Linked DNA regions of Oryctolagus cuniculus. The protein of the gene in region 2 purifies or fractionates together with the protein of the main gene of each other region. This does not show direct contact. Links are inferred from orthologs where the notes say so. Each region holds a gene or a part of one and is shown on either strand. Other genes may lie near its edges.

Region 1 (3,648 bases), on a different chromosome or scaffold from region 2:
GCTAGGTGGCGCGTAGGTATTTCATAGCCGCCTACACAGCCAATGGCAGAGTCCCAGTCCCTTACCCTGTTGGGGAAACTGAGGCCCAGAGAGGGAAGTGACTTGTCCAAGTCACACGGTGCGTCCCACGTGGAGGGGGGACAAGAACCCAGGTCTCCTGACTCCCCCGCAGGGCTCCGCTACAGCCGTGGGAGTAGCCCGATAGACATGGGGAGTAGCTGCAGTGCGGTTTCTTCCAGGAAATAACGTGTACGGTTACAGAAGTTGGGGAAAGCGTTCACCCTCTTAAGGATGCAACCAGGTTTTCAGACAGTTAAGAGTCTGGCGGAAGCAGCCGCACGCAGCAGCACACGGGGCTCGACAGCTCCGTTCTCTGGGGCCCCCAGGTGGTGGCTAGGAGAGGGCCTCTCGGCTCTCCCGGAGGAGAAGGTGCCGCCAGCAGCAGGGGTGCGGGAAGGGAAGCGCGCGCAGGGACGGTGTCCCGCGTGTCTCTGGCTGCACTGGCCCTGCAGGCCCGGCCATGTGGTGGGGAAGAGCCCAGAGAAGGCGAGGGAGCCCAGGTGAGCGTGGTTGCTGGGAGGCTGGAGCGGCTCGGCGGCGGCCCCTAGCAGTCGCGATGGCTTTCCCACCGTATGCAATACCTCTTGCTTTTCTCTCTCTCTCTTTCTCTCTCTCCCTCCTCCCTGTCTCTCCTGCCCTCCCATCCCCTCTTCCTTCTCTCCTATCTGTGTCTTAGGCCTGCCAGTGGTCCCCGAGGGCTTTGTTTCACCCCACTGGTGGCACACAGGGCCGAAGAGGCTGCCGATCCCTGGTATAACACCGCCTGGCGGGGTTGGCTTGGGTACTGCTCTCCAGGAGGCAGCGGGAATGGACTAGCCTGACTCCTCAAGGCCCCTTCCAGCCTCAGATTCAGAGACAGATGGTGTGGAAAGATCTAGATTAGCAGAGAGAACGAACAGTCCCACCGCACTCACGCCCTTGGCGCTTAGGGCTCCCAGTAAGCAGGAGTTAATTGTCCTGTAGCCTCCTTTGTAAGTACCGACGTGAGCCCACTTTGCACCCAGGGTTTCTTCAGGCTGCACCGTTGCACGCTCGCCACCAGAGGGCGCCTTCCCTCCTGTGATGGCTGCAAAATGCAGAGGATCAGAACTCTGAGCTGTGGGAGGGGAGGGGGGCTCTTTCGGATCTTAGCCCATTTCACACTTCCGCAGAAGGTTAGAGCTGCAAGGGCCTGGAGGGAGAGAACACCTGGTCCAACCCCTCACAGTATGTAATACCACTGAGGTCCAGAGTGGGTGCTTTGTTGCCTAAGGTCACACAGCAAGTCAGAGGCAGTGCCTGGCCTTGAACCCAGGTCTTTTGACTCCTAGTCCAGTGCCCCACCCACGACGCCACTGTGGCTGTCTGGGAAGGCCGAGAGTGACATAGGATGAGGTTCTCCTCTGAAGCCTGTGCCCTTGGCTGAGCAGGGCCGGCAGGAACCTCTCCCTGGGCCTCTTAACTACCACCGGTGGTGGCCAGATCCACCCACCCAGGAATGTCTCAGAGTTCTGGGCAGAGCTCCTTCCCGGGGTGGCCCGTCTCTCTCCTGAAGGTTTTCACAGTTGCAAATTCGCTTCTCTGCCTCACATGGTGCCTTCTCAAGACATTGTTTTTAAGAGCAGAAAGAAAACAAATACAGCGCAAAGCAAGCTTGGCCCAGGATGGCGGCTGACCCCTAACCGCGTCTTCCTTTGCCTTCAAGCTGTACATGGTGCGGACGATGCTTGAATCGCTCATCGCAGATAAAAGTGGCTCCAAGAAGACCCTGCGAAGCAGCCTGGACGGGCCCATCGTCCTGGCCATCGAGGACTTCCACAAACAGTCCTTCTTCTTCACACACCTGCTCAACATCAGTGGTGAGCTGCAGAGCCCAGGGCAGAGGCGGGGGCTCCTGCCTCCCGCGTGGCTGAGCCCCTTGGGCCGGCAGTGGCACAGTCTGCCTGCAAGGGAGGATCCCCACTTCCTGGTGGACTGCGGGAGCTGGGGAGGAGGACCAGGCCCAGTTCACCTCTTCTGACGTGGTCAGCTCAGCAGCTGTCCAGGGCGCATTTGTGGCGGATTTATCAGGACGTCTTTGGTGGAGCAGAGTCAGAAACGGGATTGCAAACGTGGAAACACACGAGGCGTTCACTGGCCTTTGGCTGCTAAGCCGCAGCTGGGAGTTGAGCAGTGCCCACTCTCCCCACAGAAGAGCCTGGCAGGCTGCAGCCCAGCCCCTGTGCTCTACCCGTCCTCTGCTAGTAGGGTGCACATCCTATAGGACAGGTGGCAGACCAGTGTCCTAGGGACGTGCGGTTGTCCTGTGTCTCTTGGCATTGAAGAGCTTGACTCACTTCAACAACCAGTCAGAACTTGTCCATCAGAGAGTTGCCTAGGAAGGGCCTTCAAGGCCTCTGAACCACACAGCCGGGGTCAAGGAGCCACAGCCCAGCTGGAAGTGGGTGCATGGCGACTTCTCTTAAAGGTGTGTGTTGTACACTTAAATCATGTTTTCACGATGGCTCTGTAGGGGGTGATGGAAATCTGGGGGCATCTAAAGTCCTCAAACACCACCGCCACTTCCACCACACATCTCTAAAGCTTAACAGATGCAGCTCTCCAGGCAAATATTAGTCTTGTCTGAAGTACAAGGGCACAGGATGTGCTACTCAGTATGTGTGAGGTACCTGCTGCATACTTAGCAGAGTGAGGATAACAATAACAGGAAGAAAATCAAGAACTGTGATTTTTTGTGTGCTGCCTATAACCCAAGGCTCTCTCCCTACACTTCCAGAAGCTCTCCAGCAATGTTGCGACCTCTCTCAGCTCTGGTTCCGAGAATTCTTCCTGGAGTTAACTATGGGCCGGCGAATCCAGTTCCCCATTGAGATGTCCATGCCTTGGATTCTAACAGACCATATCCTGGAAACCAAAGAACCTTCCATGATGGAGTAAGAGGCAGGATTGGACCTGTAAGGAGGTTCCTGGGATGCAGGTGGAAGGTGGCTTTCCAGTGAGCTCATCCTTTGCAGAAGGAAGGTCTGAGCTGACTGTAGGTCAGGTGGGGTGTGCCACCAGGGGTTAGGACACACCAGGTCTGGCTGCAGAAAGATCCGGGAGCGTCCTCCCAGCCCACCTGGCCATCCTGTGTTTCATCAGCCGCAAATCAGCGCTGCTTGGGAAATAAGCCCTCTTTTGGGTCAGGCAGCTGCTGCCCTTCCCTGCCACCTGATTTGTCTTAGTGCCAGACTTCAGCTCAGGCCCTGCTTGTCTTAGCCACTGGGGCTTTGGATTTCCGGGCAGCCTGTAGAGTAAGTCATTTCTAAGTGGTGGAGGCACTGGAAACTCTCCTCCCAGCCCTGAACTTGTGCCCTCTCTCCTCCGCCCTCTGTCTCTGAGTAAGGGGCCACCTGGCTGCCTTGCGAGACGCCCTCACCAAGCTGCTGGCTCTCCGTGTCCCCCTGCAGGTACGTCCTCTACCCTTTGGACCTGTACAACGACAGTGCCTACTATGCCCTGACGAAGTTTAAAAAGCAGTTCCTGTATGATGAGATCGAAGCCGAGGCAAGTGCTGAGCGGCCCCTGTTCCTGCAGTCCTGCCCTGAGATCTGCGCTTTTGCAGGGTTC
Region 2 (3,648 bases):
CTCTGCCTGTCAAAAAAAATAAATAAATAAAAATAAATTTAAAAAAAGTTTCCTCTAAGCTTAAAAGGATGTGTGTATTCACAATCTTAAAAATCATCTATAGAGCCAGCGGGTATTGCCGCCGCCTACAGTGCCACCATCCCATATGGGTGCTGGTTTGAGTCCCAACTGCTCCACTTCTGATCCAGCTCTCTGCTATGGCCTGAGAAAGCAGTGGATGATAGCCCAAGTGCTTGGGTCCCTGCACCCATGTGGGAGACTGAGAAACAGCTCCTGGCTCCTGGCTTCATGTTGGCCCAGCTCCAGCTGTTGGGGCCATTTGGGAAGCAAATTAGTGGATGGGAGACCCCCCACCTCTGCCTTTCTGTAACTTTGTCTTTCAAATAAATCTTTAAAAAATAATCTCTCTCTGCCTCTCCCTCTCTCTATAACTCAAATAAATAAAAATTTAAAAAATAATAATAATACATGAAAATCATCTATAACATGGTGAAATATAGTTGTCTGCGTTTTACAGGTAAGGAAACTAAGTCTGAGAGATTGTGACTTGCTGAGTACACAGGACTAAATAGAAAGCTGAAACTTAACCCAGATTTTCTGCCGCGATGTCTGCTGCTCTTTCCATGTCTTGTAGTGTCCTTTGAGTCTGCCTGACGTGAGGTGACAGTGGGGTAGCCTTCACAACACCTCATTCCCTCTTCCCTCTTCAACAGGAGAGCTCATTGTTACCCCAGTTTAGGGTGCTTTGTAAGATTTTATCTGGAAAACGGCTGTGCTACCCCAAGCCACAACTCCTACTGTCATTGCCCTCTTGGCTGAGGAGCAGAAAACCCTGGTACTCTCTTGGTGACCGAGGGGTAAATTGGTGCAGGCTTTCTTTTCCTTCAGAACAGATGGATATTTTTGAACCTGGTTTATTTTCCACGAATAATGTTGCACCTTTCTCTGCTTTAGCCTTCCAAACACAATTTTCCATTGCCAGGATGAGCATGATGCAGTGTGGTTTTATAGGATCTTAGCCATATTATGGACCGGGATCAGACAGGTCCTCCAACCTGCAGAGTAGAGATGAGGCTCCAGTGTGAGACCTTCGAGCAGAGCAGGGAGCTTCCGTATTGTTCAGATAACAGAACCATTCAGTATGTGGGACTTGCTCCTTCCTGATTAGAAGCCCTTATTGACTTTCATTTACCAGCAAATCAAACTATGCAGCTGATTGGTCTTCTTTCTCTCCATGTTATACTAGAAGGTGAGCTTCAGCCACACTACAGGTTCTGTTTCGACTTCTCAGACGAATTCTTCCCCTTGAGATGAGGACTTAGGCCTAAATGTAGCTTAGAAGCTAAAAATCAGAGCCTGCTTATGTGGGTCCCAGAAAAGTTATCTTTTGGTTGGGCCAGGTTGCTTATGCCTGCCTTCACCTTGCAAATCAAAGCTCAGATGGTGTCTTTATTCCTATGCAGCGCTTTTCATTCCTAGGAAGAATATGCCTTGTGGCTTGGAATGACAATATGGAGGTAGTGTCAAATTGCTGTTATGTTTCTTTGGCTGCAAATTCTCCTTGCATTCCAGGGTTGAAAGCACAGAACTCTTTTCTTTTTGTAAAAAACAAGACATTGTGGAAAGAGACCGCTGGTATGTTGTTTTTCAGGGAGGGCTTGAAATTTTCAGCTTTTCACTTATTCCCTAAGATGTAGATTTGAAGGGTTGCAACCCAGAACAAAGACTTTGAAAGTTGTAGGTTATAAAAGATAAAGTAACCTTTCACCCCTTCAGAGAAGTTACACATCTCTGCTTGTGGATTGTTGATAAATTCAAGGGCCCTGGAAGATACCATGACTCATCACGCTTGTTCATTGCATTTTTGTGGCTCCATTGAGGAGGATATTTCTTATCATATTAATTGTAGGCACCCAGAAGGTCCTCTTAACTCCCAGTCTGTTTTCCAGAACCATTTTACCAGGTGATTTTATAGAAAAGCAAGGGGCTAGGGCTGTAAGCAAATATGTCTGCTCTTCCAACATCAATTTTTTGCATTACACCTTTCAGTTTTATTCAGCCTGTTTCAAGTTTCATGACTGTCCAGTTATCCAGGAAGGCTGTGCTCTCTACAGACTGCCGAAGCTAAGGAGAAAGTATCTTTATCTCTCAGAGCAAGCAGATTCTTCGAGTGTGGCACTTCCCTTCGGGGGGGTGCGGGACAGTGTATGGGGATGGGTCGTGCCGGCCTTGGTAGCCAGTTTCCTGACCATTTTTGTCACTTCTGTGCACTGGTGACTTGGTTTCTTTGCTTTTTGCAGGTAAATATGCAGAGGACATTTTTGGAGAGCTCTTTACTCAGGCAAAAACCTTTGCCTCTCGGGTAAGCTCCCTTGCTGAGAGGGTTGACCGACTACAAGTTAAAGTCACTCAGCTGGATCCCAAGGAAGAAGAAGGTAAGGAAGCTGAGCTCAGCATTTGCAGGCTCTGCTGAGCAGTTTCTTCGAATTTTTCCCCCTAATTTATAAAAAAGCAAGGGGAAAAAAATCACAGAAACCTATGGAGTTCTGCTCTGAAATGACAAGCCTGGGTGGCGTAAAGAAACCTTTTAAGTTCTGCCTCACCCCCACACACTCTCTTTCTCCCAATCCCCCAGTTCCCCAGCGCTCAAATTTCCCTTCTCTCAATTGTATTTTGCTACCATAAAAGTACTTGGAAGATTCCTTCCTCCTAGGAGAGGCCTGGTCTATCTGGCCACATAGTAAACCTTTGTGTTGCCTCATTTTGTTCAGTCGTGAAATGGCTGGGCTGCTGACAGCCTTGTGGGGCTTCCCCAGAGGGGAAGGAAAAAAAAAAAAACCTGGCTGCAGACAGCCGCAGCCAAGAAATGCAGCAGCTGAGGCCTCTCCGACTGGGGTGACTCAGTGTTTGCTCAGACAGCCTGTCGTCCATTTTCTAACGCCTTCCCTCTCCTCTCAGTGTCGCTGCAAGGAATCAACACCCGAAAGGCCTTCCGAAGCTCCACCATTCAGGACCAGAAGCTCTTTGACAGAAACTCTCTCCCAGTGCCTGTCTTGGAAACATATAATACCTGTGATACTCCTCCCCCTCTCAACAATCTTACCCCATACAGGTAACGGCTGGCTGGCTCCTTCCTTTTTCCAGCCTGAACCACAAACAGCACTAGGCTCTTTTATCTGAAGATGTTGTTTACATCAGAAGAGTCTATCAAAAAGCTTACTCCCCATCCCAGAGTGGCTTGTGGCAACAGAAGCTACAGTTTACCCTGTGAACAGTTGTCATTTATTATTGTTTGGTTTCTGAAATTCATAGTGAATATAATATATATTGAAAGTTTGCTGTAACATTGCATCCTGCAGAGTTTAATTTGGTATAAACCAGGTCCATCTTGGATTCCATCCAAGGAATTTAGTTATTATAGAACCAAAAAGGACTTTTGTTATAAAGGCGGTCCTACAACGTGGATCCCAGGGGCAGCATGCTAGCAAGGCTCCCACTGACTTGGAAACCACTAGGTTACCAGATGTTTGGGCGTGTTAGTGGGGCCTGCCGCATGCGCTGGCTGCTCTGGCCCAGAGAGGTCCTTCCAAAGCTTAAGGAGCAATTGGCTTTCTTCCAGAGGAGTTTCGTTCACTGTGTTTTGAACAT
Region 3 (3,648 bases), on a different chromosome or scaffold from region 2:
ATTTCTTGTATAGATGATTTGATTGACTTTAATTTGCAATGGTACCTTGATATACTATCCCATATTAATATTTCATTATGTATAGTTTTTCATCTGTAAAGTTCCACCAAAAAACAACTAGAAATTTCCCACATTTGGTCCATAATTTTTTTTGCAGATCAATTAAACTAATAACCTCATAGAGCAATTTGCACTTGGATTTGTCTCTGCTTGTATTCGGCTTCCTGACTGTTCAAAGTGGCATCAGAACATGAGGAGAGAGAGGTGGAATCAGATGAGGTTTGGGAGAATAGAGTGAGGAAAAGAACTGAGCGCGTAGAAAATGAGAGAGACTGAATCGAGGTTAGCTAACCGGATCATGGTACTATGACCATCACATTTTGCGCTGAGGTAGAGAAAATACCTGTAAGTTCGATTTCTTTGATTCACAGAAGCTGTCCTCACAGGGCTCTGCTGCGAGGGAGCCATATTACGGGTTGGGCTAGGTACGTAATCATTTGGTACCACTGGAGGACGCACTGGCTCCAGTGTGCGATAGGGGGAGTGCCGCCTACAAAAAGAAGAGCGTATGTAGTGTGTGATTAAGCAAGTTTCGGCACAATAAACTCAGAGCTGCCAGTAGTGCAATACAATTGGAAAATGAGAGAGGAAATGTCTTTTAACATAACCCAGCTACCAATTGCAGTCTTTCCTAAAGATTTACTTCTCCATCATTAGGGTTCTGGTGAGCACGTATTGTTAATTTGCCATCTCCAACCTCATTTCCCTGTGCTAATGCAATTTTGTTCATTTACTTTTCTGAGAACACAAGGTTCTCCACCATGTATGCCAATGTGTCCTAGACCCAACTCTTAGAAGAGATTATTGTAGTATGTCACCGTCTCCCAGCTGCATTGCATGAATGTTCCTACTATCGTTCTCCCCTCCCTCCCTCACCTAGGGTAACCTAACAGGGGGACCACAAGCCTCGAGTTTTGAATCCATAACCCCCATACTGCCTATCGATACCACCCACAACAACTCATTTCCCTTTCTAGATACTAAATACATTAAAGTATATGTGTACACAAAACACACAATTTAATCTCATCTTCCACACTCACAACCTCACTTTTTCCCCTCAACTTACACCTTGATATCCCTTTCCTCTTCTCAACCTCAGAGTTCAACATTTACAAGTGGTAGAGAAAAAAAAAATTTTAACAAGACCACCAGAGCGGCCAGCACTGTGGCATAGTGGGTAAGGCCACTGCCTGCAGCACCAGCATTCCATATGGGCTCCGGTTTGTATCTTGGCTGCCCTTCTTCCATTCCAGCTCCCTGCTTATGGCCTGGGAAAGTAGTAGAAGATGACCCAAGTGCTTGGGTCCCTGGCACCCACGTGGCACACCCAGAAAAATCTCCTGGCTCCTGGCTTTAGATCAGCCCAGCTCCCCAGTTGCGGCCATTTGGGGAGTGAACCAGCAGATGGAAGACCTTTCTCTCTGTCACTCCCCCTTTCTGTAACTCTACCTCTCAAACCTCTCAAATAAATACATAAATCTTTTAAAAATTTTAAAAAGCTGACATCTTACAGATGAGACTCGTCTTTTTTTTAAAAAAATTAAAACTGGCATCTCAAGGTTTGAAAATTAAAGTTTTGTTTTCCTGAAATAATGCTACTCAAATGACTTACGTATTTTTCTCAATAATTCATTTATCAAAAGGCTCCAAGAGTGCTTTTAAACACTGTTCTCCTGGGCCCTTAAATGATGGCTAATTGATTTTGAATGAGATAATTTTGCAACAACCCTGCTGAATCTGAGAGCTGCAGATTCTCCTTGCATAAATATATACATATAAATAATTAAAAATAAATATGGTGCACTTGATGGAATATTGGGCCAAAAGAAAAAAAAAGAAATGTCAGGAGTTTGGGTTTAAAATACTGAAAAGAATGTCAAACATTTCTGAAATTTTAATGCAAATATAAATGACTAAGCAGAAAACTGAGCAACTTCCAGAGACATGATTTTTAGGTAATTTTTCCCAGACAATAAAAATGCTGTTTTCTTCAAGAAGAAAACCTTTACTGACTGAGAACTACAGAGTGGAAGCAATGATACAATTAAGGTACAAAAACCAACAAGAACACCACCACCACCACCACCACCACCAAGGCAGAAGAACAAACACGGTGACTAGACAAAGACTATGCCCAAAAAGCAGGCTCCGACCATCTAACGGCCACGTGGCTCAGCAACCCTACAGTCTACAAAGATGCGACACGACCAATGCTGTTACACGAAGAAAACAAATACTGATGCCTGAGTAAATCTTCAAAATATCAGAGTACAAAACTTTCTTCTTGGACATGCAGCAGGTTATCCTGCTGATTTAATACCTACTAAAACCCTCTAGGCCATATATGTGATAGGAATGTAAATGTTCTACATGAATGAACAGTTCCTCTTGATCACTGTACCCTCATCCCTGTCCCACTGTGCGTGAACATCTCACTTGCATGCTACCCTCAAGTTTGGTCCATTAGATTAATTCCTTTCTAATCAAAGAAGAAAAATTTTTTGTCTATCTCAAATAAAGCCGTCCTATTCCTGACTGGAAATAATTTTTATTCTTTTATTCTTTTGTCTTTCACTGTCTTAACTATACTTCCTCCCCCAACATTATCCTCCCTTATATCCCAATCATCTTTATCCTGTCCTGACCCACAGTGCCACAGTGCTTGACTGGATTTTCGGTTTTGTTGTTTATCTTGTTTTTGTACTTTGTGTTTTTTGGTTGTTTTTTTTTGGTGAGGGGGCCAAAAAACGATTGTCAATTAAAATTTGTTTGCCATATATCCTATAGCCAATGGTATTCAAAACATATTGTCTTTGTTTTATACATTTTTTTAAAAATCCAAATTGTGGTACAGTGACCCTGAAAAGTTTATAAAGGACAAATATTACCCCCTTTTACAGATGAAAAAACTGAACTGTTTAGAGGCTGAGCAGGCAGGAACACACAATAAGCTGCAGAACCAGCCCACAGGTGCACTCCTCTGGCTTCTGGGCTACATTATGCCCAAGCAAATACAAATCTCGATCAAGATAAACCATGTTTACAGTGTGAGGCCATGGAAGAATGTCAGGCTTTTCCATTAATTGACCATTTCTGCTTGCAAAAGTCAAATCCAGAGCCTAAATCTGTAGGAGCAAACTACAGCTCAAGATTCTCATAACATGTTAGACAGAACTTTATCATCTATACAACCTTCTTGAGAAAGACAGTCTAAGTTCAACTGCAATAAGAAAGACCGCAAAAATTTTCTGGAAAAAAACGGAAATTAAAAATTAGACTGCAATTTATAATAAACCATTACCTTGGACTAGGATTTTACCCCCAATTTGAACTGTATTAGAAAAATAATTTCTAAACAAAATATTTCTGATGTATAAATGTGTATTGTCCAGGAAAAGGGAAAATTATACCCATAATATAATCAATTCTAGGAAGGAAACATTCTCTCTTCAAATACTCAAAAATAATTTAAATACAGGCTCTGCTTAGCTTTTAACACAACATTAGGTGAAATCAGTCTGCAGTTACTGAGTTATATACTCACCCAAGAGTCCCCTTCCCTGACATGGGGGGACTGGGAGGTTT

What was found.
Region 1: the proteins of WASF2 (region 2) and CYFIP2 purify together in Homo sapiens (co-immunoprecipitation; 3 studies listed by BioGRID and IntAct, with this or other methods). This does not show direct contact. The link is inferred for Oryctolagus cuniculus from reciprocal best matches to the Homo sapiens genes WASF2 and CYFIP2.
Region 3: the proteins of WASF2 (region 2) and ABI2 purify together in Homo sapiens (affinity purification with mass spectrometry; 3 studies listed by BioGRID and IntAct, counting the BioPlex papers as one, with this or other methods). This does not show direct contact. The link is inferred for Oryctolagus cuniculus from reciprocal best matches to the Homo sapiens genes WASF2 and ABI2.

Annotation. Positions count from the first base shown.
Region 1 is NC_091437.1:44,298,259-44,301,906, forward strand, and holds part of CYFIP2 (cytoplasmic FMR1-interacting protein 2), read left to right. Parts: intron 1-736; coding exon 737-811; intron 812-1,744; coding exon 1,745-1,898; intron 1,899-2,815; coding exon 2,816-2,972; intron 2,973-3,488; coding exon 3,489-3,585; intron 3,586-3,648. UniProt on the Homo sapiens protein: Involved in T-cell adhesion and p53/TP53-dependent induction of apoptosis. Does not bind RNA. As component of the WAVE1 complex, required for BDNF-NTRK2 endocytic trafficking and signaling from early endosomes.
Region 2 is NC_091438.1:144,152,982-144,156,629, forward strand, and holds part of WASF2 (actin-binding protein WASF2), read left to right. Parts: intron 1-2,300; coding exon 2,301-2,435; intron 2,436-2,958; coding exon 2,959-3,112; intron 3,113-3,648. UniProt on the Homo sapiens protein: Downstream effector molecule involved in the transmission of signals from tyrosine kinase receptors and small GTPases to the actin cytoskeleton. Promotes formation of actin filaments. Part of the WAVE complex that regulates lamellipodia formation.
Region 3 is NC_091434.1:36,665,768-36,669,415, forward strand, and holds part of ABI2 (abl interactor 2), read right to left. Parts: coding exon 3,608-3,648; intron 551-3,607; coding exon 404-550; intron 1-403. UniProt on the Homo sapiens protein: Regulator of actin cytoskeleton dynamics underlying cell motility and adhesion. Functions as a component of the WAVE complex, which activates actin nucleating machinery Arp2/3 to drive lamellipodia formation.